Bombyx mori: one gene and its partners. The protein of the gene in region 4 purifies or fractionates together with the protein of the main gene of each other region. This does not show direct contact. Links are inferred from orthologs where the notes say so. Each region holds a gene or a part of one and is shown on either strand. Other genes may lie near its edges.

The links.
Region 1: the proteins of prefoldin subunit 1 (region 4) and probable prefoldin subunit 4 purify together in Homo sapiens (affinity purification with mass spectrometry; 5 studies listed by BioGRID and IntAct, counting the BioPlex papers as one, with this or other methods). This does not show direct contact. The link is inferred for Bombyx mori from reciprocal best matches to the Homo sapiens genes PFDN1 and PFDN4.
Region 2: the proteins of prefoldin subunit 1 (region 4) and prefoldin subunit 2 purify together in Homo sapiens (affinity purification with mass spectrometry; 5 studies listed by BioGRID and IntAct, counting the BioPlex papers as one, with this or other methods). This does not show direct contact. The link is inferred for Bombyx mori from reciprocal best matches to the Homo sapiens genes PFDN1 and PFDN2.
Region 3: the proteins of prefoldin subunit 1 (region 4) and prefoldin beta subunit purify together in Homo sapiens (affinity purification with mass spectrometry; 6 studies listed by BioGRID and IntAct, with this or other methods). This does not show direct contact. The link is inferred for Bombyx mori from reciprocal best matches to the Homo sapiens genes PFDN1 and PFDN6.
Region 5: the proteins of prefoldin subunit 1 (region 4) and prefoldin subunit 5 purify together in Homo sapiens (affinity purification with mass spectrometry; 7 studies listed by BioGRID and IntAct, with this or other methods). This does not show direct contact. The link is inferred for Bombyx mori from reciprocal best matches to the Homo sapiens genes PFDN1 and PFDN5.

What each region holds. Positions count from the first base shown.
Region 1 is NC_085117.1:12,409,342-12,416,373, reverse strand, and holds probable prefoldin subunit 4, read left to right. Parts: upstream 1-3,200; 5' UTR 3,201-3,503; coding exon 3,504-3,536; intron 3,537-3,681; coding exon 3,682-3,903; intron 3,904-4,755; coding exon 4,756-4,908; 3' UTR 4,909-5,532; downstream 5,533-7,032. Other genes in the region: EN protein binding/engrailed nuclear homeoprotein-regulated protein, read right to left, coding at 1,565-1,660. UniProt on the Homo sapiens protein: Binds specifically to cytosolic chaperonin (c-CPN) and transfers target proteins to it. Binds to nascent polypeptide chain and promotes folding in an environment in which there are many competing pathways for nonnative proteins.
Region 2 is NC_085129.1:193,046-200,090, reverse strand, and holds prefoldin subunit 2, read right to left. Parts: upstream 4,727-7,045; 5' UTR 4,371-4,726; coding exon 4,237-4,370; intron 4,155-4,236; coding exon 3,857-4,154; 3' UTR 2,319-3,856; downstream 1-2,318. Other genes in the region: molybdenum cofactor biosynthesis protein 1, read left to right, coding at 1-94, 195-315, 532-992, 1,070-1,459. UniProt on the Homo sapiens protein: Binds specifically to cytosolic chaperonin (c-CPN) and transfers target proteins to it. Binds to nascent polypeptide chain and promotes folding in an environment in which there are many competing pathways for nonnative proteins.
Region 3 is NC_085112.1:4,986,770-4,992,314, forward strand, and holds prefoldin beta subunit, read left to right. Parts: upstream 1-2,243; 5' UTR 2,244-2,374; coding exon 2,375-2,743; 3' UTR 2,744-3,232; downstream 3,233-5,545. UniProt on the Homo sapiens protein: Binds specifically to cytosolic chaperonin (c-CPN) and transfers target proteins to it. Binds to nascent polypeptide chain and promotes folding in an environment in which there are many competing pathways for nonnative proteins.
Region 4 is NC_085107.1:9,946,503-9,952,473, forward strand, and holds prefoldin subunit 1, read left to right. Parts: upstream 1-2,418; 5' UTR 2,419-2,553; coding exon 2,554-2,970; 3' UTR 2,971-3,764; downstream 3,765-5,971. Other genes in the region: WW domain-containing adapter protein with coiled-coil homolog, read right to left, coding at 111-151. UniProt on the Homo sapiens protein: Binds specifically to cytosolic chaperonin (c-CPN) and transfers target proteins to it. Binds to nascent polypeptide chain and promotes folding in an environment in which there are many competing pathways for nonnative proteins.
Region 5 is NC_085112.1:5,060,320-5,067,515, reverse strand, and holds prefoldin subunit 5, read right to left. Parts: upstream 4,010-7,196; 5' UTR 3,854-4,009; coding exon 3,767-3,853; intron 2,808-3,766; coding exon 2,598-2,807; intron 1,984-2,597; coding exon 1,810-1,983; 3' UTR 1,198-1,809; downstream 1-1,197. Other genes in the region: glutaredoxin 3, read left to right, coding at 5,066-5,115, 5,407-5,575, 5,971-6,233. UniProt on the Homo sapiens protein: Binds specifically to cytosolic chaperonin (c-CPN) and transfers target proteins to it. Binds to nascent polypeptide chain and promotes folding in an environment in which there are many competing pathways for nonnative proteins.

The DNA of each region.
Region 1 (7,032 bases), on a different chromosome or scaffold from region 4:
TATGGGGAAAAACCGCGCGGTCAATCAATTCATCATTCACGTCAATTCAAATCTAGTCTTTTTGGGACGATCCAAATCCTTTCAAGAAGGCTTTTATTTAAAAGATTTTTTCCGCGTGTATTTTTTTAAACGAACCAAAAAGTAAATATAGGCTCGATGCAAGTGGAATGATTTTGAGGTGCAAGAAATCATATTATATTTTCAATAGAATTAAGTTTACTGGTCGTCCCTAGTGTTATTTTAAATGTGCCCACAATTTCTGAACTATGTTGCGAACGAACTTTTTTAATCTAATAACAAAAAAATATACTTAATGAAGCGAATTCTGAATAAAAAGATGTTAAAAAGAAAAAAAAAAGAAAATTCAACCGCATAGATATTTTTCTTTCCACGACTTAGCATGTTGAACTACAAAAACTTTTGGACTAAACCAATCTGGAATTTGAATATTATAGAAGATTTTAATAAAGTCTTAAGATTTTGATGAGAAACTGTCAGATGCTCGCACAAAACACAACAATATAATTTCCCACGATTAACATATTAATATAATTTATGATTCCTCATGTCATTTCTTTCTCATTTTTGGTTGCAAAAAATATAAAGCTAAAGATGTGTGTAAACAAATCTGAGAATAATAACTTTGAAAATGTTTTTTATTAAAAACTCATATTTTTTGTTACCTAAATCAAGCACTTGATAAGTGGAGAATACAACAATAATTTAAATATAAAATAAATTCGTAAAATTTTACTTCAGAAAAATTTATTGTTTGAATTAATTTTTGTTGACTCAGTCGTAGCTTCGTCTAACAATTTATATATTAGATAACTTGGTATTTCTTGATTTCTAGGTCTTTCGAACACTAATATTGCCAATATCTCGAATGAATAAAGTAACTGTGTTTACAAACAAGTGTCTACGCGTCACCTGCTATAGACAATCACTAGACCGAGAGAAAGGCGCTTTCCACCAGTTGTATCCTACTTATTCGACTGCACAATTATTTTGCCTCATTTAGTGACTGTCATAATAGTTTAACAATTAGAAAACCATACATTTCTGAATAGGTACAGGAAATTAATGACTATACTATATGAGTCGTCTATTATCAAAGGTGGCAATCTGTGCATTTGGACAAAAGTTTTTTATTGATATGTCAATACAGATTGATTTGAATATAATCGTCTCCTTCAAAGAATACGGTTCAAAACCTGCATTAAATAAAGGTTAATGGTTAACCTGTTATTTATCTAAGATGTCGTTCCGAAGAGTTTTGTGACTGCCAATGGAATACAAAGTCAATAATTCGTTTTTCTGATTTACCAATCATTGTCCAAAAGTCAGATTGCCGGCTTTGATAATAGTCGACTCATATCTGATATTTTATTTTAATGTAATCTATAAAAATAAAAGATTTTTGTTCAGTTACTGCACTCAAATAATGTACGTATTTAATTAAAAATTAAAGTTTGTGTTTTATTGTAATGTTAATCATATTTTTATTCAATATGATAATAATAATATATTATTAATTCTTAAATAGGTAACGGGTTTTGCATACCGGTGGCGGTTCTGATGTGCTGTATACTTCAGAAGGCGGATATTCCGGCTTCATAGTTATTGTAGCCATCGAGTCTGGCTGGTGTTCTTTTTCCATCACGACCTAATACTGTTTATCAAAATTTATTTATTGCTCGTCTCTGGGTAACGCGCACTGTGTCTGATGTTCGAAGTTGAAGTGCGGGTCTGCGGACAACTTAGGACAAGTGAGTGGTGTCGTCGAGCGTAGGCGCAGAGAACGGCCGTGGTGGGGTCGCCGGTCGCCCGCCCGGTTTTGCATTCTTATACAATGGCTGAAAATACCGCTTAGATCCATAATAAAAAATCCGTATCAGTATAATATTGCTCTATTCATTTCATTCAGATCATTCGAAGCATCAATCAATCAAGGGAAACACACGGCACAACGGTATCTGATATTAAATTATGGGTAATATTCTAACTTATTTTGAAATAATGAAAAGGATAAATAAATATACCCAGATACGTTCCAGATGAACTTATCTGGGTATTTTTATTAACATAATATATATTCATTTGTAGTAATTCTCATTCAACATTCTCGTTTTAGTCTCCTACCTCCGAATTTTTGTGTTGAGTGGAATGAAATCGTTATCTTTCTTTTTATCTTTCTTTTTATTTAGGAGTCTTTGTAGACTATGATTCCCCCGTCCAGCCTGCTTCTACCGTGCACATTCAGGTATATACCGATACATTCGTCAAATCTTTAATAGGTATACGAAGTCATTCATATTATAGTTAGGGCTGCTGAGCGCTGTGAGACATACCCGATCCTGTAGATCGAATGGTAAGCAGTCGACGTTGCCCAAAGCACGTCATTACGGATCCTCCCGATCCATTAACGGTGCTTTTAGGCACCACAAGCACCGTCCTCGTCGAACCCGTCGCTTGCGATGAAGGGCTCGACGAGCGAATTAACCCATAGTCATAGCCCACTGAGTTTCTCGCTGAATGTTCTCAGTGGGACGCATTTCCGATCTGGCGGTAGATTCTGCGAAGCACTGCTCTTACTAGGGTCAGTGTTAGCGTCACTCCGGTTTGAGCCCGGTGAGCTCACCTACTAGTTAAGGTTACGCTGAAATAGCCTCTCAAGGAGGGACTTCGGTTCCCTCTGTATTTTGTACCGTATGTTCCATGGGGAGTGCTCTGAGGAATTGTTCGAGATGATACCGGCATCTCGTTTTTACCATCGCACCGCCCGCCACCGGAGTAGAGTTCATCCATACTACCTGGAGCCACTGCGGTCATCCACAGTGCGTTTCCAGAGGTCTTTTTTACCACGTACCATCCGGCTATGGAATGAGCTCCCCTCCACGGTGTTTCCCGAGCGCTATGACATGTCCTTCTTCAAACGAGGCTTGTGGAGAGTATTAAGCGGTAGGCAGCGGCTTGGCTCTGCCCCTGGCATTGCTGAAGTCCATGGGCGACGGTAACCACTCACCATCAGGTGGGCCGTATGCTCGTCTGCCTACAAGGGCAATAAAAAAAAAAAAAAAAAAAAAAAAATCAAGGCTTAGGTAGGAAAAATAATTTTGTAGAAGTTTTTTTTCCACCAAGCTGATCCAATGTCAATTTTGTTGTTCGAAACTTAGGTAGTCTAATGAGTCATAATGAGCAGGCACCATCTTACTGATAGGTTGTTCCTTTTAAAATCAACCATGCTGTCTCATCTTATGTTGAATTTGGTTACATTTTATTCCATTTAATCATCATCAATCATAAAATCAATAAACATCCAAAATCAATTACTATTCACTCCGTTCGGCCTTCGTTACAAACATGGCTTTATAGGCTAAGTTCCTTTTGCCTATTCAATGAACAAATTACGCTTAAAAAAAGTGAACAATAATGAACAATTTCGATTTGAGGTTAAGCGCAGCCGAAATTTAATGCTTTATGTTTAAATATTGATAGTAAACATGTCAACTACAGCTAAAGGAACTTTTCAGCCAGTAAGTAAATGTGCAATACTTATTTTTGTCAAAACATAACAAGCAGAAGAAATTTACTGTATTAATTAACCATATTGAGACCATTTTAGGTACGAAACATGAACATTCTATTGAATTTCATTTATTTTTCTCCTCGGCATTCTAGGACTCTGATGTACACATTTCATATGAAGATCAACAAAAAATTAACAAGTTTGCTCGTCTCAATGCTAAAGTTGACGATTATAAGGATGAGCTCAAAGTAAAACAAAACGATGTAAAGAACCTAGAAGAAGCAGTTGAGGAACTGAGCCTTGCTGATGATTCTGAAAAAATCCCTTACCTTATTGGTGAAATTTTTATTTGTCAGAATTTGGAAATTACTTTGGTAAGACTATCACATTAATATTCTTTAAAATTTCATTAATATTATATATTTTATTAACTAAAAGTAAAATAGTGGTCATTTGATAAAAGAAAGTTGCAGCAGTTTATCCTAAACTTATTTATAAAATAATGTATGTTCAATCTGATATTAATGCTTCAGTAAAAAGCGAATACCAAGAGAATTATTTAAATATTTTTCAGTGCATATCTCAAAAACAAAAACTCACTCATCTTTTGACAGATTACTTAATGCATTTTGTAGGATCATATACAAGCCTTAAGTTCATAACAAATTTTTTTGACCCTTTTAGTGCTAAGCTTGTTAGATTATAGATTTTTAGAAACATACAATTTTCTCTTTCTAATATATAAAAGTGCCTTATTTGTAGGTTAAGCTTGATTGAAGATTAGTTAAATATTAATCCAACTGAAAATTGAGAACTAAAAAATATCCAACTATCTAATCTCATTTTATATTTAAACTTAACACTTAACTCAATAAATAAAAAAGGGTATATACCCTTAAATAATATTATATATGAGTCGACTATTATCAAAGCCGGCAATCTGACTTTTGGACAATGATTGGTAAATCAGAAAAACGAATTATTGACTTTGTATTCCATTGGCAGTCACAAAACTCTTCGGAACGACATCTTAGATAAATAACAGGTTAACTATTAACCTTTATTTAATGCAGGTTTTGAACCGTATTCTTTGAAGGAGACGATTATATTCAAATCAATCTGTATTGACATATCAATAAAAAACTTTTGTCCAAATGCACAGATTGCCACCTTTGATAATAGACGACTCATATATATTTAAATCTAGTATTATAATTTTATTCCAGAAAAATCTTGAGGAAGCTAAAGCAAAAAAAATACATGAAATTCATGATTTAGAAGAAAAATGTGAGGAACTAAAATCACAAATGAGTGACTTGAAAGCACACTTGTATGGAAAATTTGGTAGCCACATTAACTTGGAAAATGAGGAAGATTGAAACAACATTAATTTTGTTCACAAAAATTGTACTCATATTTTAAGCTTTTAAGTTACATAGGCTTCACATCAAATAATTATTGTTATTCTAAACTTTGTTGTTTTTACACAATAAGAATTTATGTTTCTTAATTCGAAAATTGGCTGACCTACTTCAATGCAGTTTAAAATTACAGTAAAGACTTATTAAGTTCAAAGAAATGGTCCTTAAATATAGAACAAAATATATTATTGTTGTTATCTAGATTTGTGGAATATGTATACTGATTTTTCACTTAAGTTATTTTCCATTACTATAATATACACATCAATTATTTATTATCACGATAACTAAATATGTTTTAATAAATAAATAAAAATATAACAGACATCATTCTATGATGCATTTTCATAAAAGGGAAACAAAGTACATAATAAAAAATGTTATTACTTGAATAGTGGTACATAGCTAACCTTGTGCTTATGTAGTTATGTTGAAGGTGTGAAAATGTTTTGGGAGTTACTCCAAAATTGATATCTATCTTTTTTAACTTTCAATAAATAATTAAACATGAAAGTTGCATTCGTGACTTGTCAACTTATTCAGGTCTTGTATTTTTATTGAAATATATTATACTAATTAAAAGTTTCATTATTACAATAGACAGTAGACGTACATTAGTGAATCCCAGTCATGCTATGCTGTCACTATTAAGCTTTTCTGAGGTGTTTTACACAACAATACCTTATATGATATAGAACTGTTATTTTTTTTTATTCCTAGGTGGGTGGACGAACTCACAGCCCACCTGGTGTTAAGTGGTTACTGGAGCCCATAGACATCTACGACGTAAATGCGCCACCTACCTTGAGATATAAGTTCTAAGGTCTCAAGTATAGTTACAGTAGTACAGTTATAAGTAGTCTTTTTGAAATAACACACCACCTTTTTAGTTAGAAAAGGACAAAGTACACTTTCCCTCTCTTTAAAATCAAGGGCATACCATAATATTTAAGGTATACGCTTTAAGGCTTTAAGTATTAAAAACTGAAAAATTACAACTCTTCAATTACATTTTTGGCTTCTTCAATTTCAATTATATTTACCAAAAAACAAGAATTTTGCCATAAGTGCGATGTATAAAGATTCTAGTTGTGTTCCCTATACGTTACTAAACCGTTGATTAGGTAGTAATAATTTTATGATAATTAAATAATAATAAACCTTAACCTTATTAACTGAACTCATTTGTATTAATGTCATATTTTCATAGAATCTAAAATCGAACCGCTCATCTCACCACTGCATGTAATCGATAAATTATAATTGTATTAAAATTTTGTGTGAGATTAGTATGTGTTACTTGTGATTTATTTTGATGATGCATAATAATATGTGGTTGGAGCTCCAGGAGAGGTTTCTGTCATAGTACCATAAACATAAATAGCGCATGAATAGTTTCAAGAAATATATCTTTTTCACACAATTACTTATAGTCACGGCAAAGCGTGACCAGGATTACTAGCATAAACATAAACCTTAAAATTTATTATCACAAAATTAATTTGATTAATACAATCATACTAATTTATCAAACAAATAAAGCTACTAATCATAATACTAATACAATATAATACAGAAGAAAAACACATTTTATGTGCACCACTATTTTATGTGCAAATATACACCACCGCAAAATACAAAGCTTCATCATTTCCAATATCGACAAAACAAAATGGCATATCTGAAAAAATCTCAGGCAATTTTTGGTGCTTCGAATTCTTTGGTGTGTTTTCCATTAAGTACAATGTCTCGGCAACACATTCGCCTGGCTATTACTATCAATAAACCTAAAAATAATATTGCTGAAAAAAGGAACATATCCTAAAGACAGGGCTGTTTTATTTTAAACCCGGGTTTTATAAATATGAGGCGAGAATTTAACGGTATACTATATTATGCTGATGCGTTTTACAATTTGTACCAAACAAATTCGACTCTTCGAACGTACCAGACGAGCCCTAACATTTTCTACAAAAAGTCGATGTCAAAATAGTTTAATCAACGATATATTATTATTATAATAGATGCGTAACTGTGCTTTAGGTTAGGCACTGACAACAAAACTTTTTTTTTATCATGAAG
Region 2 (7,045 bases), on a different chromosome or scaffold from region 4:
GTACGCGGGCACCGTGGGGTTCATCTCGTCCATGACGCAGCACTTCTGCGCGACCTGCAACCGACTGCGCCTCACCGCCGACGGGAACCTCAAGGTGAGCGGGGCGGGGGCGCGGGGCGGGGACCCCGGGGGCGGCGCGGGGGCGGCGCGGGGGGCGCGGGTCCCGGTACAAGCGGCCGTGTGTGTGTGTGCAGGTGTGCCTGTTCGGGGCCGCGGAGGTGTCGCTGCGGGACGCGGTGCGGGGGGGCGCGGGCCCGGCGCGGCTGCTGCAGCTGGTGCGCGCCGCGCTGCACAACAAGAAGGCCGCGCACGCCGGTAACTGGGCAGCTGCTCTCTCCTACCTTGCCGCTCTTGCCTCTTCGCCCTGTCCACCCTCTCTGAACTAGTTCGTGTACTCTGCACAATCAGCACTGCACGAATGTAGCATCACCGGTCCCCCTCGTCCCGAACCCGCTTGTGCTGCATCAGCTCATTTCCTTTACTAACATTGTTCGTCTTGGAACGAGTTTCGACGCGTTCTTGGTATTTCAGTAGCGCGAGCTCGGTCCGGGCGGCGCGAGGAGGCGGGCGAGCGACGGGGGGCCGGGGGGTGGGGGGCGGCCAACCTCCGCACTCTCGCTGATCCTTCCTCTACTTATAGGAATGCAAAATTTGGCGCACATGGAGAACCGGCCCATGATTCTCATAGGCGGGTAGGTGACTTAACCTCGAGAGACGGGCGCGCGTTCAAAGTACAGGGGGTCGGGGGGAGCGGCCGGCTACAGGCGCGCGCTTACTGCACGGGGGGGTCGCGGGGGTCCGGGGGGTCCGAGCCGCCCGCCCGCCTCTCGCACCTGGACGCGCAGGGCCGCGCCCGCATGGTGGACGTCAGCTCCAAGCCGCGCACGCAGCGCGCCGCCGCCGCCGAGTGCGAGCTGCGCGTCGGCGGCCGCCTGCTGCGCCTGCTCCGGGACGCCGCCATGCCCAAGGGAGACGCGCTCACCGTTGCCGAAGTAATTTATTTCTCGAATTCGATGCAGACCCAAATGGAATCTTTAAAATGAATGATTAAGTCAAACACTCCTTACAGATCGCGGGAGTGCTGGGCGCAAAGCGCACGTCCGATCTGATCCCGCTCTGCCACCCGCTGGCGCTGGAGCTGGTGCGCGTGCGGGTGTCGCTGCCCGGCGGGGAGTGCGCGGCGGGGGGCGCGGTGCGGGTGCGCTGCGAGGTGGGGGCGGAGGGCCGCACGGGGGTGGAGATGGAGGCGCTGGTGGGGGCGGCGGTGGCCGCGCTGGCGCTGTACGACATGTGCAAGGCGGTGGACAAGCACATGTCGGTGTCGGAGCTGCGCGTGGTGCACAAGTCGGGCGGGTCGACCCCGCGCGCCCGCTCGCCCCCGCCGCCCCTGCGCGCCCCCGACACGACCCCGCTCGACCCCAAGGAGACCTACGCGCCCACCGACCTCGCACACTTCTAACTGGTCACCACAAACCTGTGACTAGTGGGTAGTGCCGCGCCGCGGTAACGCTGTGCCCTCGCTCCTCCTCGTGCTTTACTTCGTGGTTATGAATTTAGCTTTTAAGGTAATGGTGCTATTGTACAATATTAACCAAGAACAAAATTAACTACTGGATGTTAATAAAAAACAACGTTAAGTCTTCAAATTTTATTATAATTTAAATACATGTTAATCAAATGCGACATTAGAATCTTCTCACACTGGGCTCCGGCTGCGCCTCTCACGGACATAACACAATGCTAACGGAATGCAGAATGTTAGATTGCAATTATTTTGGATTATCATAGAACATCATCATATATGACTGGTATATCAACAAACTTGAGGAACAGTCAAAGCTGTTAAATTGTAAGACATTTAGATGTGCTGTGCGCGGGATATTATGCGAATTGCTCGGCCAACTAACTGTATGGCCTTCTAATATTCATTCTACTTCATTTCGTTCCTAGAAATATGAGTTCGAAATCTCAATTGCTTTTGAAGGTTCCACCTTACCTGAACGTAACTGCTTCTTGGAATAAAATGGATGTTAGTGGCGCCCGCCGTGCGGCTCCACTAGACGCCATAGTTCGCCAGCACAACACTCAGAACTATTTTAAGTGGAAACATTGTAAAAAAACCTAAATCCATCCACTGTGGTTTCTAATACCCCACCTGATACATGGAGGTAAGAAGGCAGGGCCCGACTAAATGTAAAGTTTGGATTACAATAAACATGTCAACGAAAGGACTTGCATGCCAATTGTTTGTTATCCTCTGTGGTATCAACAGTATTGGAGATTAGTCGTCAGACCCTTACAAGTCCAAACTACAAAAATGAATTTTTCAGAAATATATTTTATACAAAATTACTTTACATGAAATAAATATTAGTACACTTTTTTTTGTTTAGTTATTCTTTTCTATATTATAAAATAAAGTTTCTTGTTATTCCTGGCTATTTTTATTTTAAGTAACAATAAATTTTAAGGTTCCAAAAATTAAAACCAAATATGAATCTAGCCATGATCATGTTTTATAATCATATTAAAATTCACCTGATGAAACAGAAAAAGTTGTCACTGTTTTATTGTGACATCCCACCTGGTATTAAAATTTTATCAGACCTCTGACAACATTATGAATGTCACCATCCTGCTAAGAGTATAGGAAGTTTTAATTATATTGTATAGTTGTCCATAGAAATAAGGTAATAATCTAACCATGCTCACTTAGAGTATGGTGCAAGTAATAAATTATCCAAACTTATTAACTTTTCAGTTGAGACTTTTTACACAAAGTTATTACCTGATTGCCATAGTTCATCTCTGAACTCGGACATGCGTATAGTATATCATTCAAATTGTTGGCAGTAAGTTGGCTCTACCCCTGGCAATGGTGAGCCGTATGCTCGTCTGGGCAAGGGCAAATGAAAAATTCAGGCATTCAGGCTTGTTAACTGGCCAAACACTTCAAAATAGCAGTAAACCTTAAAGCTATGTACACAGTTAAACAATACTCTCAAGGTTTCAGTGATATTTCTACTTATTACAGTTGCCTACCAATCACATTGACTCTGCATAGGTGAGCTTCAGATGCTGTGACAGCATTGGGAATATACATATAGCACAATGTGGAAAACATTTTACTATTTAAATTATTTTTCTCTCATATATTACTCTAATGTTTAGAGTTTAAACATTCAAAGCTTATTGTTTTTGATTAGAAATATATCACTGTCACCTTAGACATTGTTAAAGAATGGTGAGGACAACAACAAAAAACTCCATATTGTCTTGACTTCTTAAATGAAGCTATTCTCATAATTGTTGGGACAAAGAGACTGCTTCTCTGCATTTGTATTACATATTCCATGAAAAGTGTTGAAAAGTTGTTCAAGATCTATTTTATTATTAAAGTTTATTATCATACTACTTTCCACTAGACAAGGGTTCATATTCTACTGCCTGAAAAAACTGTTTATTGAGTTTAATTCCACATTATTTGAGCACATTCAGCTGGGGAATTAATTATTCTCTGTGGAGTTTTCGCTGTAGTATTCCTTTCTTTAAATATGTGGTTAAGTGTCTTGGAGTATTGTCACACTAAAATGATTTATTTATCTGGTTGAGATGGATATTCAGTTAGATTTTCCTTTTCTTGTCATCATATTCATAAAGTACTGCTTCATAATACCATGTTTGCCCCCCTTGCCCCTAAACATCAGCCAGAACTAATTTATCAAGCCACACCGTAATAGTATTGTTAATAATAAAAAGTTTCCCAGTACTACCTCACACTGCTTTAGGCAAATGTAGGACTAGTCTCACTGTCAATACACTGCGACAGCTATATGAAATGAAAGGATCAGTATAGTTAACCGCTAGCAACTAGCACATTAGACTTGGTAGAGGTGGATTGCTCTGGAGGTGGTTCAGGCATGGTGCGATCAGCACGTTGGATGCGAATATCATGTTCCTCAATGTATTTATTGATCTCCTCTCCCTTCTGAGTGAGTTGGTCTTCTAGGGACTGGATGGCCTTAGGTAGCTGTTCATAATTGCTGATCAGCTCTGGCAACACCTCAGCTACGGTGCGTTCGACAAGCACGCCCCCAAACATCCGGAAACACTTACGGGTCAACTCCACTCCCCGCAAAGTCTCAATTACGATCCTGTAGACATAATTTACTATGTATTTTGTATTTTTTTAAGCAGTAGATTGATATGCAATAGATTTATTCCACATTTACTCACTTATGTTCGTTTAACTCCATTTGTAATTCTGATATTTTACTCCCTAATTGACGTTGTTCATTACGAAGAGTTTGGAAACCAGCAAAGATTTCCTCATTCGTTTTTTTTCCTACTTTTGATGTATTTTTAGCCATTTTACTCTAGGTAGGTAGGGGAAATGGAAATCAAAATTTTAGGATTTTTTTTTATATAGTTTTAAAAAAAGAGTAATCAATTTAACTCTCTTTGAAAAGTAAAAATAATCACGGTTTACTGAAAGTTTTAAAAATAAAAGAACATGTAAATGTATTTTAAATTAACAAAAACTCAAATTAACTAGTTTTTATCGAATACACGGATTAGGTTATGTACATTAATGTACATGTCAGTTTTTTTTTTGCGAACGCTGGCTACTTTACCTTTTAGGCAATTTTTTTTTTTATTACTTCACAAGAAAATCTTTACCCTCAAATAAATTGTGACCATAGTTTGTGAAACACTTGAGATAAGTTTGAGTCATGACAACCAACTCCTGAAAAGCATCTATTATATTTAAAAAGCATTTTTGGGACGTATTTTGATAATATCCTAATCCTTAGATTAAAAGCATTAAAGTCTTTGTCTATTACTAATAAAATTTAAACTACTAAGTTCTAATAGTACAATAGTTGGGGAAAAAGTTTCTTCGCATTTTTTAAGAAAATTCACATTTTTTAATATTGTTTATTTACATTTAACTAAAGTATGTAGGTACCATTTTGTTCGATAACTTTTTGCCATCTTGTAGGTAGGGACATGATCCCATTGCTATGGGGCTTCCGATCAAAATACCGCGACAATTGGTTTTGGCAGTCCTCTCGTGATGTTAACCTGACAATGCCTAAAAAATTCTGAAGAGATCGAAACAGGTGGAAGTCTGAAGGTGCAAGGTTAGGACTATAGGTAGGAACATTTTATCCGTAATACCCAGCTTAGATAAGAAAAAAAAAATGTATGTGTGACGTGTGTGCAAGTCACACACGGTAGAAGTGAAACCTTTAAAAAATAAAAATTATCGCAAGGGTCAACCACTCCATAGTGCAATGGAGCAGCCTCACCCTGGGGGAAACCGCCTGCATGATCACCGTATCCCTACGCCAAGTAAGTATGATTAGATTATTTTTTTCCTACCTATGCTGATAGCCTTGAGAGGCTATATCAGTGTCGCCTTAACTAGTAGGTGAGCTCACGGGGCTCAAGCCGGATGATGTTGTTAACACAAACCCTAGCAAGAGCCGTGCTTCGCAGAATCTACCACCTGATCGGAAACGCGACCCATTGAGAAGAACCGACGAGAAACTCAGTGGGCTGTGTCTGAGGGTTACTTTATTCGTCGAGCCCTTCGTCGCAAGCGACGGGTTCGACGAGAACGATGACGGGTTCGACGAGAACGATGACCGGTGCTTGAGGTACTTAAAAGCACTGTTAGTGGATCGGGAGGATCCGAAATGACGTGTTTGGGGCGACGTCGACAGCTTTCCATTCTCACCGCAGGATCGGGATTGTAGTTACCGACGGCCACGATGAGAGGGTTCTCGTGTCGTGCCGCTTTATCGAAGTGGCGCATTGACGCCGACTGAAGATACTTACTGATGGACTCTAAGTCCAGGTCGTCGTGGAGCTCCGACGGCTATCCTGCAAAAACGGGATTGAATAACTTGGAATGATTTTAAGCTAGTGCGGGCCGCGTGAGCGAACACTGCGCTTGCATAGGTCATATCAGGGCGTACGCAAGTTTTGTAGAGTGTCACCCTATTTCTAAGGGATAATTTACTTCGCCTGCATATCATCGGATAGAGAGTGTAGAGACATCCTAGTATGAAGGCGGCATGATCACGTACCGTCTTCAAGTGGGGGCGGAATGTCATTTCTCTGTCGAGGGTGACGTCTAAGTATTTGACCTTCGGGGCCGACGGTATGGGTTGGTCGTACATGATGAAGAGGCGAATGGCGGAGGCGGAAGTGTTAACGCGCCTAGTCGGGAGTAGGATGTTCCAAGTGGTTGTGATTGAACAAGAGAAATACGAGAACGTTTATCAACTGTGTAACATCTCATCACCGCGATTCAGGAATTGTTGAGTTTACGTGCAGTGACATCTGTTGATAACAAACTAAATAGAAATAAAAGTATCTCAGGGCGCTCCAAGAGCCACGACAGCATGCACGGACATCAAAAACACACTGAACTAGTCGAGGATGCGAGACCGTGTGGAGTGCTTCGTGATTTGTCGGCGCCGCTCGGAGCCGCTTCGGCAAGCCAATCGCGGCACACTTATTTTTTCGTTTCGTTTCATTTCGTTTCATCGAGTTTGAAAACACAACGATTCTAAAAAAGTTTCACTTCAAAAAATCACGTAATGATCACATATTAACCACAGTGTGTAAATGTGTAATGTGTTGAAATGTGTAATAACAGTGGTTTATTAGCTGTTTAATATTTGTGAAAGTGCACAAATGTGGGAAAATGAAACAAAGCCGCTGGACATAATCTCTTGGGACCCTCCAAAAAGTCCACTGAAAAAATCTCAGTAAATGACCACTATTTTAGTGAGATTACATTTCATCTCATCTCATTTAATTTAATTTCATCCCAGTTGAATAATGTCTCAAATTAATAATCTTCATATTATTTCCCTCAATATTATAATTTAATGTCTCGTAGCGATCTTGATTAGTTAACAATGAGCTATTCCTTTGGCTGATTTTAATCTTAGTAGTGATATAAACAGAATCAGTTGTCCAGTGATATCTTCATCTTTTGTTGTACGATTTAATTTCTGTTCTGTAAGGT
Region 3 (5,545 bases), on a different chromosome or scaffold from region 4:
GCCGTGTTGCCCATCTCGTTAACTATGACATCCGCATCGTAGTGGTGGTGCAACTTTAGTACCCCCAAATGGAGGCTCGTGGCAACATTGGTCGTCATTTCGAAATCGGCCCCCGCCTAATAACGACGGCCGGCTTTGTGACGGTAGCTATCATACAACGCAAGATATTTGATAGATACCTGAATCTTGTTTACGATATTTTCAAGACAAGCTTCCATTTAAACAAGTTCCGAACAACAACATTCAGACCGTCAGTCTACCGAGCAATATCATCCGCTCGGTGGAAGATCTTCCTTTCGTCGTTTAAGCCTCCCACAGGCTTCCTTCAAATATCAATGTTCCACAATGTTCTCATGACAATGTACAAGACTCCCCTATGGTTCGCTGCTGAATAGGAGTGAAGACGGAACCTCTGCGAAAAGTGCGTACTGGCCTTGTTGGACTCGTAATTTATAGTTTTTTAATTTGTTAATCTGTTTCACGTGACCGAGTGAAAGGGATGCTCTCGAACTCATCATTAAAAATTAAGAAAATCTGTTAAATATAGTCGACGTGTGTATGATCCCAATTATTTTCGATAGAAAGAAGTTCAAGAAAATTCACACAACGAACAGTACCGTAAAATGGGGCGATTAGGGATTGAGAGGCGAATTGGGAAAAAACCGGGAAAATCTTTCGACAGTCAATATTAGTTTTATATTCGTTGCAAAATCTTCCATTTTTTCTAGTTTAATAGTAGAATGTTGAAAGTTCACAAAACAACTCTGAATATGCATGATAATAGCTGCTAACTTATAAAAAATCGCGTTTCAAATTAACTTCCTGTGGTGGTCATTATTTTGGTGCTAGAAACTTTGCTCTCTTTTATTTATTTGATATTAATAGAAGACGACTGTGATTTATACACGTTATTTAGTGTTTGAGCCATCATATATATTAAAGGTAAGTCTCAGTTGTTATTGGTTTTAATGTATTTGATAAAATAAAAATACATGTAAAAATCTGTTGTTTTTGGGGATATTGGGGACGTCTTAGGTACAAATAACAACGAAAAAGGGGTCAATTGGGATGAGAATACGTGAAATGGAAACGAGCTGAGTATAAATAGGTACAGGTTTGTAGGGTTGTCTATGTAGTTATAACAATATTTTTTAAATTTGTTGGTAAAAATCTTGTTTATTCATGATGTTTTTGTCTAGAACTTTTATTCAAAATTATCAATGTGTTATTTTATTGTTTGGTAAATACTTATATTATCAGTTACGTACTGTTTTCTATTTTTAGATAATGCCTCGCGTGTACGTATTAAAGAGTGCAAAGCCTTAAAAGAGATATGATCCCTTAATATTAAAAACAGCAATAGAAGCCTTTGAAATTGGGAATAAGTCTTTAGTTGAAATAGCTAAGCAATTTAATATAAGTAAGTCGATTTTGCACAGACATCTAACAAGAACAATGAAATGTCAAGGTGGACAAAAATGTCTAAGTAATACATAGTAAAATATTTAATATTTGTTCAGAGTGGGGGTATTCATCTGATTAATCCATGGAATAACCAACACACCTAATCTCTTAACCCAGATAAAAATATCAGCCCCTAAGTACTTACCAAGAACGAAAAAATATAAACCGTTTATAAGAAAGCTTACTCTCCTTTGGGACTACAATAATGTCCACGGTAGCATGGTCTCCGTCAATGTTCATTCGGAGTTGTCCGATTACGCTGAACTAATTTTAAGTGATGAAATAAATTTTTTTTAATTGTATCACAACTTACAGGACAAATCTGTCGCGGATCATTTCTCAAGTAAATATAAATTAATCATAAGTAAATAAATGTAATCAAGTTGATGATCACTTTGTTGGTGCAACTAAATAAATAAATAAATTAAAACCAAGTAGTGGCAGCCCTAGCAAATTTCTCATTTCGTCCCAATTAACCGCAATTTTCGGGTAAATAGGGATTACACCTATTTTTGCTTTTTTTGCTTAAACTGGAATGCTAGTTGCATAGTTTTAAATTGGACAACAAAGATGCCCCCAAGACTCAATCATTTCGATCCTGATATAGCATTATATACATCAACATCTACCTTAAAATTGGTCATAAAGTTGGAATTTGTCCCTAATCGCCCCATTTTACCGGTACGTAGTGACACTTGAAATTTTTTGTGTATTATCTATGGTTAATTTCAAAATCAATGTCAGACAAATGACAAAACCATAGAGAATACACACATAACCCATAGATTATACACTTAATATATTTGAGACATAACCTCAACTAAAATTTTTGAGCAGGTGAAAAAAAACGGAAAAGATTTCTGTATTAAACTGTTTATTTTCTATCAAATCATACCTTGACTGAAACACAATGGCGGAAGAAATACAAAAAAAGTTTCAAAAACAGCTCGAATTATTTCAAGGTGTTCAAAAAGACATAAAGAAAGCGGTCACTCAGAAACAACAATTAGACAGCCAGTTAAATGAAAATAAAGCAGTCAAAGAGGAACTAAAACTCTTAAGAAAAGATTCAGAGGTATACAAACTCATCGGACCCGTATTGGTGAAGCAAGATTTGGAAGAAGCCAGACAAAACGTCTCCAAACGTATGGAGTACATTAGCAAAGAAATCAAAAGAACAGATGATCACATATGTGCTTTAGAAAACAAACAAGAAGCACTGCAAGAAAACTTAAATAAACTTAGAAATGATCTTGGCAAACTAAAACTAAAAGCTTGAAAAATGTGTGAATTAAAAGTAAAATATTTCTATTCTTCTATTATGACTCACTTGTATGTTTAGAGAACTACTATTACAAATAAAAATATTACACATTAATAATTTAATGTATGTTTAGCTATGCAATAATCATGAAAAAACTGCTGTGTGGCATTACACTAAACTTACCTCTTCCTTTTGTTAACTCAATATAAAAATAAAAAATCTTACTGAAAGTAAGTTTTTATTTTACTGCCATTGCAGGCAGATGTTTGTGGCCCTCCTGATGTCACCATCACTCATAGACATCAGATATGCCAGGAGCACAGCCAAACTGCTGCCTATTATTTACTTATTATTTATTTTCAAAACTAAAATATTTTGTTACTTGTACATATTTATTTTTGTGTGTATAAGCTGAAAGTTTGCAAGGTAATTGACGGTATAATGAGTACCATTAGTTTTGAAACCAGATTCATCTTAGAATAATTGTTCGCTTCTATTACCAGTAGTTTTGTATATTAACCTAAAACCATATGACAATCTAAAAAAAATTGGGTAATTTTTTGTTTTTAAATACCTATTACAAATGTTATGTATTGCATTTGTATACAAATGGTCGGCATAATTTAAGCTGGCAGTGGAGAAAGTGCACAAATGTAATTTAATAAACTTATTCTAATTATGTTTCCAATGATTTATTCAATAATTAATACTGCTCATAAAGAATACAGGCATAAAAAAAATTGTGTCTTGAATCTCAACATAGTGCAACTTAATCACGTTCAAGATACTCATTCTCCTGCATTAAGCTACATAAAGCTAAAGGCATTGAAGTTACAATGTGTCACTATAAAAAAAATACACATTTATAAGCTTTTGTACCCAATTTAAGAATTATATTGTTCCTAATGAATCCCAAGAAACTGTAACTTTAGTATTAATAAAGTTTGTAACTTTCTAAAAAAAATACCTTTTCTTTTTATGCAGTCTACATTTCTTGAGTCACTGTTCATTACTGAATTAGGATATCATCCATAGTTCTCTGCGACTAGCCTTTTTGAATGCAGAGAGCTACTTATGGTGAGCTTCTTGTGTTTACCTGATCAACCTGAAGATGCCTGACTTCTTGAAGGAGCTGGAACAGTACTTGTAGATCACTCCAGCCAACAACCAGCGCTGGTTAAAAGCTCAAGCTGTAGAGAACAGCCTATCTACCAACTACAATATCATAAAGTGCTAAATTTAAATCGATACCTGGATTACAGTACCAAGTATTTATCTCTATAACACTCGACAATATTACGAAAACCTTCGTAATAAGGTACCTACAAAACTTGCATACGCCCGGTCATGACGCAAATGTAATGATCCCTCACGCACTAATTTGAAACCCCTTCAAGCACCGTGGTTTTTAAGGAATGTGGTTCTCCATGATGACCTGGAGCTTGACTCAATCAGTAAGTTTAAACAGTCGGCATCAACTCGCCGCTTTGAGAAAACAGTACGAAACAAAAACACTCTTGTTGTGGCCGTCGGAAATTACATACCTGTGGACCGAATGGTAAACAGTCGACGTCGCCCTAAACACGTCATTACGAATCCATTAACGGTGCTTTTAGGTATCTCAAACACCGGTCACCGTCCTCGCCGAACCCGTTGCTCGCGACGAAGGGCTCAACGAGCGAATTAATCCATAGACAAAGCTCACTGAGTTTCTCGCCGGATTTTCTCAGTGGGTCGCATTTCGAATCCGGTGGTATATTCTGCGAAGCACTGCTCTTGTTAGGGCCAGTGTTAGCAACACCTATTTGAGCCCCGAGAGCTCACGCACACGCAGCGTAACGCTGATATAGCCTCTTGAAGGCTATCATCATAGGTAGGGGAAAAAAAGCTACGAATTTTTTTTTTTATTGCTTAGATGGGTGGACGAGCTCACAGCCCACCTGGTGTTAAGTGGTTACTGGAGCCCATAGACATCCACAACGTAAATGCGCCACCCACCTTGAGATACAAGTTCTAAGGTCTCAAGTATAGTTACAACGGCTGCCCCACCCTTCAAACCGAAACGCATTACTGGTTCACGGCAGAAATAGGCAGGGTGGTGGTACCCACCCGCGCGGACTCACAAGAGGTCCTACCACCAGTAAAATGATTACATACTGATATTTTAGCAAGAGCACTTGACCTTTGCTGTAATTTCATGTCGTGCATCCGTTATTGAATTGAATAATTATAGTTTTAATGAATTTCGGCTAGATATGAATATCATTAAACTTATATCCAGATGAAATTTCATTGAATGTTAAAAGTGAAATTGATCACTGACATCAGTTCTGGTTTGTAGAATATCTTGTGTTTTAACTTGATTTAATGTAAAATAGTTATAAAATATAAAACGAGATGGACCGACGACCTGGTAAGAACCGCTAGGTTGGATGCAGGTGGCAACGGACCGGCCGCACTGGAGATCACTTGGAGAGGCCTATGTTCAGCAGTGGACAATGGACAGGCTGAGATGATGATGATGAGATGAGTTATAAAATTAGGTATTAAAATTTCATTAAATATGTAATAGCTTTATTGGAAAAATATAAAAATATATCTAATGGCACTTACAAAGAATGTATAGACATTTTCAATATTTTTTAATCCTATTATATCCTAAAATAGGAATTACGTACGTACTAACTATTATACTACTTAGTACCACAATTTTATCCAAATTACGATTTTATTATTACTTTATCAATAAATACTGGTCTTTTTCTTAATATAATACTTTTAGATTGAAATATAATCATATATCATACTATTTTACAA
Region 4 (5,971 bases):
AAACAAAATTAATCATCAAAATTTAACCAAATTACAGCAAAACTTAATCGGCGACCGCCATGTACATATTCTGGGAATGTTAAGCCCAAGCAGTTATAGCTATACCGTACCCATCGCTTATCCGCTGTGGTTTCCTTGCATGCATTACCATCAATGCAAATGTACGATTTATTACGGCCTCAGTAAAATGCAAAATAATTCCACTGTCATAGAAACAGTCCTTTCAGAAGGCCGTATTATATCTTGATGGACGCCATGTCACATTCAACATTCAAGACACTCCAGAAAGAGTAAAATGAAATGCGAAAGAGACGCCAAATCTGATTTTAAGTAGTGGCAAACATTTTAGGTTATTTTGTCTATGATCTTTTCGCTCAATCTGAGTTCACAAGAAACTACTGATGAATATCCTCATCACCACAGGAGTTTCATGCGGCTCAGATATTATGATTCACAATTACAATATTATTATTACAATTAGCAACAAATATTTAAATTATTAGTTGGACATTACTCTCTCATAAAATCTAATTTTATCTAAAGTGCTTGAATGATGAGCCCTTTTTGTGTTTATCCTCCCCTAAAAATTTAAGTAATATAATTTTATACCGGTCACTCACATTCGCACGAGTACGCAAACCCGCAAGTGTAGGACGACATTTGCAAATTATTATGCAAAGTTTTCGCTGCATTCGTGGTTTTCAAAGCTGTGTCGATTTTTAAAACAGAGATCAAAGCGCGCGAACCGCGATCCTTCGCGTAGTCTCCCACACATTCGTGTGACCAGTAGACTTGCGCAAAACATCACTTCCCAATGTAATGTGATATGACATCACTTTTACAGATAGGTGATATTACTCGAAAACATTACACATCACTCATAACATTACTCGGTGCGTTCAAAGTGATATGTATAAACACATCACTTAGGTAATGATTCGGGTGTATAGATACAATGTATTCGTCGTCACAGTATCTATTGAACGCACCGAGTAATGTTAAGAGTGATGTGTAATGTTTTCATCAATCATTACCTAAGTGATGTGTATAAACACATCACTTAGGTAATGATTCGGGTGTGTCATTACAGTAGTGTATTACAATACAAAGTATGAACTTTGTATTGTAATACACTGTTATATTACTTGACAGATTGACTTACTTAATAATATAATAATTTTATTTTTTACTTAATATAATTTATTGTGGGATGAACGGATTTCATATGGCGACTTAGACTGCAAATTGAGCTCGACAATAATGTTAATATACGAGAGCAGTAGATGCATTGTTTCGGCGCGATATCCTCAAAGTGCATCCAAGGAGGACTGTACTTTCATTTAGACGCCGTTATTTCTTTCACTTATTAAACACGCATTAAAACAAATAATAAAACTATCTTCAAACAAGTGCTTAAGTAATTCAAATCAAACACAAAAATTAATATGAAATATTACTAAACAATTACGAGCGACTAGCGATTTTACAAAAGTTGCGAATAAAAAATTAAGTAAGTACTTGCGGGGAGCTACCGGCTGGCCGCATGAAAAATATAAACACAAATACCTATATTAAAATTCAGACGTACCATAGGTATAAAAATGTACCTAGCGGCCAGGACATACGGTTCAAAATCACTAGGAATAATTCCGTGTCGCTTGCTCATTTATTTTGCGTCGATCGGTCTGTCTCGCTCGCTCGGTTCCGTTCGTGTATTAAGCAACATTACACGACAAAGAAAGAAACATGTTGGGTGATAGTGTGATGTTTGTTTCCTTCGCGTAATGTGTGATGTTGCATTACATCGTAGAGTAATATTACCCGAGTAATATCACTCGCATTACTTACACATGTCTAGTGACCAGTTGCGCCCAGGATTGCGCAAGCAACGGACGTTTCGCTATTTTCATAGATCGTGACGTCTACGGTGTAGCGTATCTTCATCAAAAGAAATCCCATAAAAACAGCATGACTGTTAATGATGTCTGGGAAAGAATTCAAAACTCTTTTTCTCTGCAATTTTCTATTGACGAATTAAAAAGGAGGAAAAATTCGTGAGACATTCGTAAACAAGTGTAGGAGGAAGCGCAAACGGGTTCGCAAAATGGATTCCGAACCCATTTGCACAGCCACTAAGTTTGCGAATGAATGTTTGACGGCCCTTCACATGCGCGCAAACATTCGTCCAATGTACGAATATTTGCGCGCATGTGAGTGGCCGGCATTAGTTATAATTACAGACACTTAAATTGCTTTAAAACTGAAGTACCTATTCTAAAGTGAAGTTATAAAAAAAGCGTATGATGACTTCATCAGATACATGGTTTTTGTCCCCTTTGCTTTTCAAAGTAGACGAGTGGATGAAAAGAGTCTTTGGTCATTATCATAGATAATAAACATATTATTTTCACCCACTCTATACTCGAATATAATAAGTGTATAATCTATGGGTAGGTAGGTACCGTGCCTACGAAAAGCAACGAGGCTATTTGTATTTAAAATTGTCATAGGTGCCCAAGACGGTGATTTTATTTTCTGACAACTATCATCAAAATGGCTAAAACGGTGGATCTAGAATTAAAACAAGCGTTTGTCGATTTACAAGTGCTAATGATTGAAACTAAAAAGACTATTGAAAATATAGATCACCAGCTTGCCGTATTGGGACGCATGCAAATGCATACAAATCTTACTCAGCGTGAAATCGACGTGCTACCACCTGGAACGAAAACCTATGAATCTATGGCAAGAATGTTTGTTCAATCAGACTTAGAGCATATTAAACAGAATTTGAGACAAAAAACCAATACATTGATAAGCCGCATTGACGATTTAAATAATCGAAAGGTATGTTTAAACCACACTTTAAATGAAAGTGAGTCCAACATCAGAGATTTGATTCAGCAAAAAAGGATGAAAAATGAAAATCAGCCAGCAGCAGAATCAAACCCAATACCTTCAAAAAAATAGATGATTGGAATTATAATTATCCACATGAAATCAATTGTTAATGAAGCAACTTTGTCTATTAATTTTTTTTAGCTAATAATACAATTATAATATAAAATAATTATCTGTACATAGAAAAAACTGTCTACAATTGTAAGCAACAATGATTTGCATCACATGAGATTGCTCAACAAACAAGTCGGTGTATTATTAAAATAATGTACTGTATTATTAAACAATATAATAAAAGGATTGAATATCATAAAATACGAGGGGTAAAGAATTTGTTCCCACAAATATTTTATTTGTTATATTATGATGACATTGTACAGTTTACAGTTCGAAACAAGGAATATTAAATTATAGAGCAGTGCACTGCTGTAATATAACAATAAAAATAAGCTGAATGCAAAATTCCACTCTATTATCGTACCAAAATAAATATTAGTCTCATAACGTAGGTATCCTGTTATCATCTTCTAAGTTGTAGTAGATCAAGTGTTTATCATTATTTCTGTTATAGAATTGGTATATTTGATATTACTATTTCAATTTATGGAATAGTTTCCTTATGTCTTGTATAAATTTCCATTGGACAACTTGCTGGTTCATTAACAATACATTAAATATCTTGAATATATAATAACAATGTTTTATAACTTAATGTTTTTCAAATTTAACAAATATAATATTTTTAAAATTAGTAACATATTTCTTGCATTATTAGTAATATATTATTGCTTTATAAGTTGCTGTTCATTAAAATAGCAGAGAATAAAAAATCTAAATGTATCACAATAAATTATATTAAATCCTTTTTTTTTTCATTTTATGAAATTTACATTGCATTTGAAGTTGTCATGGCCTAAAGGATAAGACGTCCGGTGCATTCATATCTAGCAATGCACCGGTGTTTGAATCCCGCAGGGGGTACCAGTTTTTCTAATGAAATACATACTTAACAAATGTTCACGATTGACTTCCACGGTGAAGGAATAACATCGTGTCATAAAAATCAAACCCGCAAAATTAAAATTTGTATAATTAGTGGTGTTGGACCTCTTGTGAGTCCGCACGGGTGGGTACCACCACCCTGCTATTTCTGCTGTGAAGCATTAATGCGTTTCAGTTTGAAGGGTGGGGCAGCCGTTGTAACTATGCTTGAGACCTTGAACTTACATCTCAAAGTGGGTGGTGCATTTGCATCGTAGATGTCTATGCCTCTATAGGCTTTAGTAACCACTTAACACCAGGTGGGCTGTGAGATCGTCCACCAATCTAATAAAAAAAAGCTGTTATTTCTTATGATAGGATTGAACATCAACTCACAGATAAATGATAAAATTATTTTCAAATAATCGTTTGAATTTCAAGTTTTCATCAATATTGTTAGTGGTTTCGAAGTTAATGAATCATATCTTCCAATGTTTTATGAAAAACTTCTGAACCTACACTGATTAGAATTTGGCTAGGTCATGTTTATGAAATACTTTGCTAATTACATATCTATACTAATTTTATTTAAATTTCGGTTTTTTGAAATTCAAAAATTGTTTTGATCGCGAAGAAAACGACGTTCTGTTCCCCTAAGTGCAGTGGGCAGCCAAAATCCTGTCACCGTCGACTGCGTCGTCAACTCGTACCCCAGAATATACTACTGGGTCATAAGAAGATTAGGTTTTAGCGCACATCTAAGATAACTGAGCGATCGTCAAACAAATTATTTTTATTATGTTTGCATAGTGGCTGAAACATTTTTTATTGCTCAGATAGGTGGACAAGCTCACGGCCCACCTGGCGTTAACATTGAGACATTTACGTAACTGCTGCCCAGTGACACGAATTTTTTGTTGACGTTTCATTTCCATAAGTTTCATATTTCAGTACTGCTGCCACACACCTTGAGACAAGAGTTCTAAGGTCTCAGTTGTTACAGTACAACGGCTGTCCCTGCCTTCAAACCAAAACGCATTACCGCTTCACGGCAGAAATAGGCAGGATGGTGCTACCTACTCGTGCGGACTCACAAGACTTCCCTCCCACCACCAGTAATCAGTATTACAGTTAGGTATTTACAATATTATACCTAACTATTTCTTTGTCTTTTTTTCAATATGGCAATTAGGTACCTACTTAGGATGCCTTTGCTCCACTTTGCTCCCAGTGTTGACTTTTTAAACATCTTCCATTTTTAAGTAACAATTTAATTGAAAAATGGAAAATTAAGAATAAATGAGAAATGGGGCAAAATTAATTGAAATTCATTTATTTGAAATTGTGAAGATGAAATGTCACGAAATTGTGTCCCAATAAGATGGAGTGTTTATTTAAGACTGCAGTGAGATTTTAACTTTATTTCATTTTCCCACATTTTTACACAATTAAACTTGAAGAAATAATAAGTAAATAAAAAAAAACTATTCACACAACTTCATCATTCTCGTTACTACCTTTTTTTTCTCTCCTACCTATTCTAATAACTTTTTTTTATGATTGAATGATTACTGGTGGCCCAGAGTTCTTTCCAGATTCACCAGGACAGGTGGGCGAGCACGGGCTCAGCCAAGAGGAGGGGGATTTGCTAACAGCTGCCGAAGCGCCTCCGAAGGAGACCTCTAACAACTCAAGAGCAGCTGCTTCGCGAATGAATCTACTACCGGGTCGGAATCGCAACCCGCTGAGAAGATTCGACTCAGCGGGCTAATGCGTGGCTTAGGTTGCACGTCGAACTCTTTGCCGAGCTCGACGAGTACGGCTACCGTGGTCCCTTAGCCTGCTCCTAGTGTTAGAGCTGAAGGCATCTAATGCAAGAGTTATTGGATCTGATGGATCCGTAAGGATGTGTCTAGGGTAACGACGGTGACTGGCTCCTGCGTGATCAGGATTCGGGGAGTAGTCAGCGGCGGCAAGGGTAAGGCGATTATCATGACGCATAGCTTATCGAAGTAACGTTCCGACGCTGTCTTCATGTGTTTGCGGAACGATTCGAGGTTTTTCAGGCGACGACTAGCCTGAAAAACCG
Region 5 (7,196 bases), on a different chromosome or scaffold from region 4:
TGGAAAGGCCTCCGAGGCACCAGTAATACTTTAATCATAAAAAAAAAGACTTAAAACATTGCACTGACCGTACATGATGCAATAAATAAATATGGTGCAATAAAAATTAAACTATATAGTTAAAAACGTTCAATCATCGTGCAATCTTTAATATTAACCCTAGTCAAAAATACTGCCAAGTTCGCAATACCAGGCAATATAATTGATCGTCTAGATTGCCGCTTACGGTAGGTATACTTATGAGATAGTGAAAATCCTAGTATTCGAATCATGGAATTAAATTATTTTAAACTGTGATATTGTACAGACTTTAAGTCTAATAGCTGTGCATTTTTCGCTACCTATTTGCTGGTAGTTTAAGGGGCTATTGTAGCTACGCGCGGACGAGACTGCATTAATCATCATCATCACTACATAGTACAAAACAAAGTCGCTTTCTCTGTCCCTATATCTGTCTGTTCCTATGTATGCTTAAATCTTTAAAACTACGCAACGGATTTTGTTGCGGTTTTTTTAATAGATAGAGTGATTGAAGAGGAAGGTTTATATGTATAATAACATCCATTAAGTAGTGGAGAAATCAATAATAAATTACAGTTTTGAAGCGAAGCGAGGGCGGGTCCCTAGTAAGTTATAGAAAGAAGAGTTTAGCAATACACAAAGGCGACATCCGAGTCGTCTATTATCAAAGGTGGCAATCTGTGCATTTGGACAAAAAAATGTTATTGATATGTCAATACAGATTGATTTGAATATAATCGTCTCCTTCAAAGAATACGGTTCAAAACCTGCATTAAATAAAGGTTAATAGTTAACCTGTTATTTATCTAAGATGTCGTTCCGAGGAGTTTTGTGACTGCCAATGGAATACAAAGTCAATAATTCGTTTTTCTAATTTACCAATAATTGTCCAAAAGTCAGATTGCCGGCTTTGATAATAGTCGACTCATCTATGGATTGTGTAAGAAAGTTGTAAATTACATTTATACGAGTATGTAACTATCCTTCTAGAATTTGATTATTACTAGATACAACAACAATACAGGGTGTTATTCTTCAGAATTCAATAATTAGATCATTAAAACATTTAAAACAGTATCAGAATATATCTTAAAAAAAGAAGCCACTTTTTGCTGATGTTTGTTTTAGCCGCGTTTTTTTTTTGTTATACTGGATCGTTCAAGTAAAACTTGGAAATATATTTATATATTTATTTTAAACATAAGCACATTTTGTTACATTGAATTAAATTTAAAACTAAGCAATGAGTCTTGTACTTGTAAAACACATAGTTTGAAATGATATAAAGCTTTACAAAATTACAAAACATGAATTAAGAATATTATTAACATTACTTGATGCTATTGAGTAGTACTCTTGAGGAGTATTCTAAACACAAAATATTACCTTAGGTAATTAGTTTCAAAATTTATCCAAAATTAAAGAAAATGTGAGGAAAAGCTTTGATGTGGCTTAATAATATTATCTAGCTTTACATTAGAAAATATCAGTATAAGTCATAGCTGTTGGGATTACGTTAATACATTCAGAAACTTGGCTTTGCTCTGAAATCACTGATGTACAGAAGCAATAGTAACCACTTTGATTAGGACAGGGTGATACGTGGTAACAAAACACAAATGATTCCACTTTTAACACTAAGATGTAATCATTAAAATGTTTTAAAAAGTAATTAAAATACTTTAAATAAACTATAAATTAACAAAGCAGAAAATTTAGGTCAACTCTATACATTAAAAGGACACGAATCTCTCCACAAAATATTTTTTAAATTAAGTCTCAGATATGTTATGAAGAGTTAGCTTTTTTTGCTTGTAGTTCGTTTTGAACTTTCATTTCAACTAATGCATTAACAGCTTCACGGAGTTTCGATTTCTCTGCACCTAACATACTTATTTTCTCCATTTGTTCTGTAACAAATTCTACTCTTCTCTTGAAGTAATCTTTGCCACTTTCAATGTCCTAGAAGCAGAAATAAAACGTAATACAAACATATGTCAGCATCATTAGCCCTAAGGGGTAACCCATGCAGTTAATTTGAAATTATTTGAAACTATATCATGATTCAATCTTCATACCAATATTCTAAAGTACTCAACATTTTCTGAAATGAGGTTTGAAATGAAAACAGCAGCTATACATGATATATTATCCTGCCAAACTTGGAGCTGAATTAAGTGTTAAATTAGGTTTAAATTTATTTTTAACTAGCGCCCCCCCTCGCCTCGCTTCGCTTCGGAAACATTAAATTTTATTATTGATAGCTGAGTCCCGCGATGTTATCCCGTGGTACGACAATAACCGACGCCGCGGGCCGAACCTAATCTAAGAAGTAGCCTAAGTTACTCCTTATATCATCAGCTACCTATCAGTGAAAGTCTGGTCAATATTGGTCCAGCCGTTCCAGAGATTAACCGGAACAAACAGACAGACAGGCAGACAGACAAAAATTGTAAAAAATGTTATTTTGGTGTATGTACTGTATATATTCATATGCATGTAGTAAAAAGCGGTTATTTCAATATTAAAAACAGACACTCCAATTTTATTTATATGTATAGATTTAAGTTACTCACTTTCTTAGCGTAATATCCAGTGCCAATGTCAATAATGACATTCTCAACATCAGCTATTGTGCCAGGAACATACATTGAACTAGTCAATGGAACAAGCATCGGTTTTCCTTTGATATCAGGCGTCATCTTCTCTAGAACATCTCCTGATTCACCAAACTTATTTTTAGCCATTTGTAATGTTTGTATTGAATCATGAAATACTGTCAATTCCTGAAATAAAATTTTATGGATTTTGTGTGAGAGTATTGCCTTTTTTTCGGATGGAGATAGCTGGTTGCAAGGAGGCCACTACTGCTTCACTAAGATAGGCAGGGCAAGCATGGGAGCAGCCAGGAGGAGTCAGATTTACTAACAGCTGCCCAAGTACTCCCAAAGTAGACCTAAAGACTAAAGGGCAGACGTTTTACTAATGCATATTGTAACATAACATCAGTTACTAACATACAGACACATTTTCACTGGTGGTAGGACCTCTTGTGATTCCGCGTGGGTAGGTACCACCACCCTGCCTATTTCTGCCGTGAAGCAGTAATGCGTTTCGGTTTGAAGCTGTTGTAACTATACTTGAGACCTTAGAACATATCTCAAGGTGGGTGGCGCATTTACATCATAAATGTCTATGGGCTCCAGTAACCACTTAACAACAGGTGGGCTGTGAGATCGTCCTCCCACCTAAGCAATAAAAAAAATGTCTCCCTCAATTTAGTCATTATGTTTGATGTTCCATTTCTGGCTAATTATAGCAATAGCTACAATACAATAAAGAAAAGCGGATATGACCTGAAGCTGACTGTTTACGAAATAGTCTTCCAATAAAAGATCAGAACAACAACATGATGACTGCTTGTCTACCAAAAATGAGCACATTCAGTGAAGTCTTCTCTTTAACATATCTTAGATTCATAGCTTTGTGAGTTGGTATTTGAGGTCCGGGTTCATGTCACTAACAAGTACACCTAGATACACAACTCAGACCAGAAAACATATGGAAATGTTTTCATTCCGGCTTTCATGAGGGTCCTTAAAATAGGACATAAGTCCTGTCTCTTAAGGACATTAATAGTTACGACATTTAATAATTATCTGTATAAATTATATTATGTTGAAGAAATAATACTTAATGCTTACTATTTCTAAAATAGCTCTATAGATATTTCCTTTATACATACCTGGTCTAACTGCTGTTTCAATTGAGCTAGTTGAGGCAAAGGTAGTTTGTTTAAATCGATTTGTTGAGTGCCTGAACCGGATGCCATCTTTGTAAATATTAATAAAAGGAAATAATAAAAGAACTTAACACACGTTTCTAGTTATTCTATTTAGTTTTTTGTAGGATCCTAAGACTATTTCTTTTTTCTAACCTCAAAATAGGTAGATTTCGGGTAGGATCCAAAACTTCAGTCAGAATATGTCAATTTGACAGTTTTACTTGTTTGGTCCAAATTGACATGCAAACAAATTCTGCCTATAACACCAAATAAGTGAAAAAAACAAATCGATAAAGAAAACCTCTTAGTAAAATGTTGAGAATTTACAGAAACTAAACTGGATTTATTAGTGTGTATCAATTTGGCTAGTCATATTGGTAGTTTTCTACCAATTTGACCGCTAACGAAAATCGTATTAAAGAGGTTAATAAATTTATAAGTTAACAATTATGTTGCGAGCATTTCGAGAGAGCAATGACTAAGCAAACCTTTTAATCACCATATAAATTAGCAAAAAAATTGGCTCAGACACAAAAAAATCTACCACTAAGCTTGATCATTAACCGTAAACAATAAGATGGCTAAGCGATTTTAAATAAATAAGATATACATGACATAATATAACTTCGCTGTGTTGCTAAAACTCCTTATTGTGTACATCTATTTATTATTTATGACTCCTTTTGCTTGTCCAAAAAACAAATCAAACAAAAAAATTTGGCTCGAAATAGAGATGATGATTCGACTTCAGACCAAAATTTTGAAAAATCGATTCTAGAAAATACCCAAGTGCAACCAAAATGACACAAAAATCAATCAAACAGAAATTAACAACAAATTCATTCAAAAAATTTAATAAATACATGATTTATATACAACAACTTTTTAAATTATTATTATTTAAAATGTAAATTTAAATTTAATAAACATTATATTTAATATATTCATAATCAGTTGAACCATAAATACTTTATTAATGCCTTTTCATCAAATTTCGATTTTCTACTGCTTAAGATGTTTCACTATTCACGATTTAAGTTGTTAACAAATTAATTTACTCAAGTATCGATCTTAGACCACATCCCTAATCAGAGATGTCAGAAACTGAATGAACATGATTAAATAAATTGTAATTTTTGCATCGAGTACACCTACGATTCCGGATCTTGCTGTAATTGTAATTCAATCTTGCTGTAATCCAGTGGCGCTTATATACTGTTTACAAAATTTATTAAAGTAACCTAAACATAGTATACTGAAATGTCGGTCAGTAAATTGGACTCTGTTGAAGATTTTAATAATTTTATAAGGTAAGAATCACCGCTAATAAAAAAGTACTTTTAAAACCGTTTGTGAAAGGATCATTAAAAATAAGCCATAAAAAGAAATTAAATTAAATACACAGTAAATAGGTAAAAATGTTAGATAATAAATTACTATGTAGCAGGATGGTCAACATTTTGCATTCATTGAAATGGAAATATGTATTTAGAATATAAAATTGAGAATATTACTTTCAATTAATCTTTTATCACAACAAGATGATTCTTTAATATCTATCTTGGTATTGGCTGATATCAAAAATTATTTAATTAATTTAGATCACCTGCACTTGGAGTAGTACACTTTTCAGCAGAATGGGCCGAACAATGTAAACAAGTTACAGATGTACTTGAAGAACTCTTAAAACTTCCTGAAATTCAGTCGAGCAAGACACAATGTGCTGTTTGTGATGCCGAGGCACTTTCTGAAGTTTCCTTGCAATATAAGGTAATGCTCTGCTAATATATTGTTAAATAAAAAGTAATAAGTGCTAACCCTAAAAATGTAGTGCATCATAAAGCACAGACAATTAAGTCACCTATTGCAATACCTGTGTATACTTTTTTTATTATTTATTAAAGCCATACACTTATTAGGTTAAGTCGGCTTATATACCTTTATGGATACATCAATTTGTATCTTGATTTTGGTTACTCAACTATGCATTAAAGACTTTATGTCATTCTTCAGATTGAAATAGACTACTTTAGGAAACACTACACTAGACCAGTTAAGCAATCAAAGAGCCTATGTAATTGAATATTGAAATAATTTATAATGAAAACAATCAAAATAGGGAAAGCCTGTTTTAGACAACTTATTAATGATTATGTTTATTTCAGGTAGATTCAGTGCCTACAGTTATATTATTTAAGAATGGAACTCAAGTAGACAGGATTGATGGAGCAGATGCTGCTCAAATTAGCACAAAAATTAAAGCACAGAGTCTTAATAAGAGTCCTGCAGAAATAACCCCTCAGAAACTTGAAGATCGACTAAAAGCTTTAATAAATAAGCATAATATAATGGTATTCATGAAAGGGAACAAGGAAACTCCAAGATGCGGGTTTAGTCGTACTCTCATACAAATTCTGAATGGAACAGGGTATGTATTATTGATGAAATGATCAATACCTATAATTTGATTGCACTATTTTACATGTGTAAGTATAGATGTGACTTTGTCATGTGAAATTTGGCTTGGCCCTCGAGACAAGTTTTGTAAAAACTAAAGAATGGAGAACATTTTGCCTATTTCTACAAAACAAATAGGTATGATTTAAATTGCAAAATGAAAGATTTTTAGTTTTCTATTTTTATTTATTTTGAATGAATATTTATAGTGAATATATACATATAAAAATCACATGCTTTCTTACTCTAATGTAAACAGCAGTCCATCTTCACCAATTTGATTTGATATTTTCATGACACTCTTCATAAGTATGAAATCATTTTTTTTTTATTGCCTAGATGTGTGGACTAGCTCACAGCCCACCTGGTGTTAAGTGGTTACTGGAACCCATAGACATCTACAACGTAAATGCGCCACACACCTTGCAGAAATAGGCGGGGCGGTGGTACCTACCCGTGCGGACTCACAAGAGGTCCTACCACCAGTAATTACGCAAATTATAATTTTGCGGGTTTGATTTTTATTACACGATGTTATTCCTCCACTGTGGAAGTCAATCGTGAACAATTGTTAAGTACGTATTTCATTAGAAAAATTGCTACCCGCCTGCGGGATTCGAACACTGGTGCATCGCTACATACGAATGCATCGGACGTCTTTTAGGCCACGACGACTTCAAAATTACCTATAAACTTGGTTTATTTTCACAAGTAAACCGTGGAATAAAAACTTTTCTGCACTCTTAGCGTGTGGCGGGTAGCCATCATACAACGCAAGATAATTGACAGATGCCTGAATCTCGCTTATGACATTTTCAAGATAAAGCGCATATATCACACATCCCATCACAAGTGGGCTGTGAGCTCGTCCACACATCTAAGCAATAAAAAAATAAAAAAAATACAAGTTCCGAACAACGACATTCGGACCGTC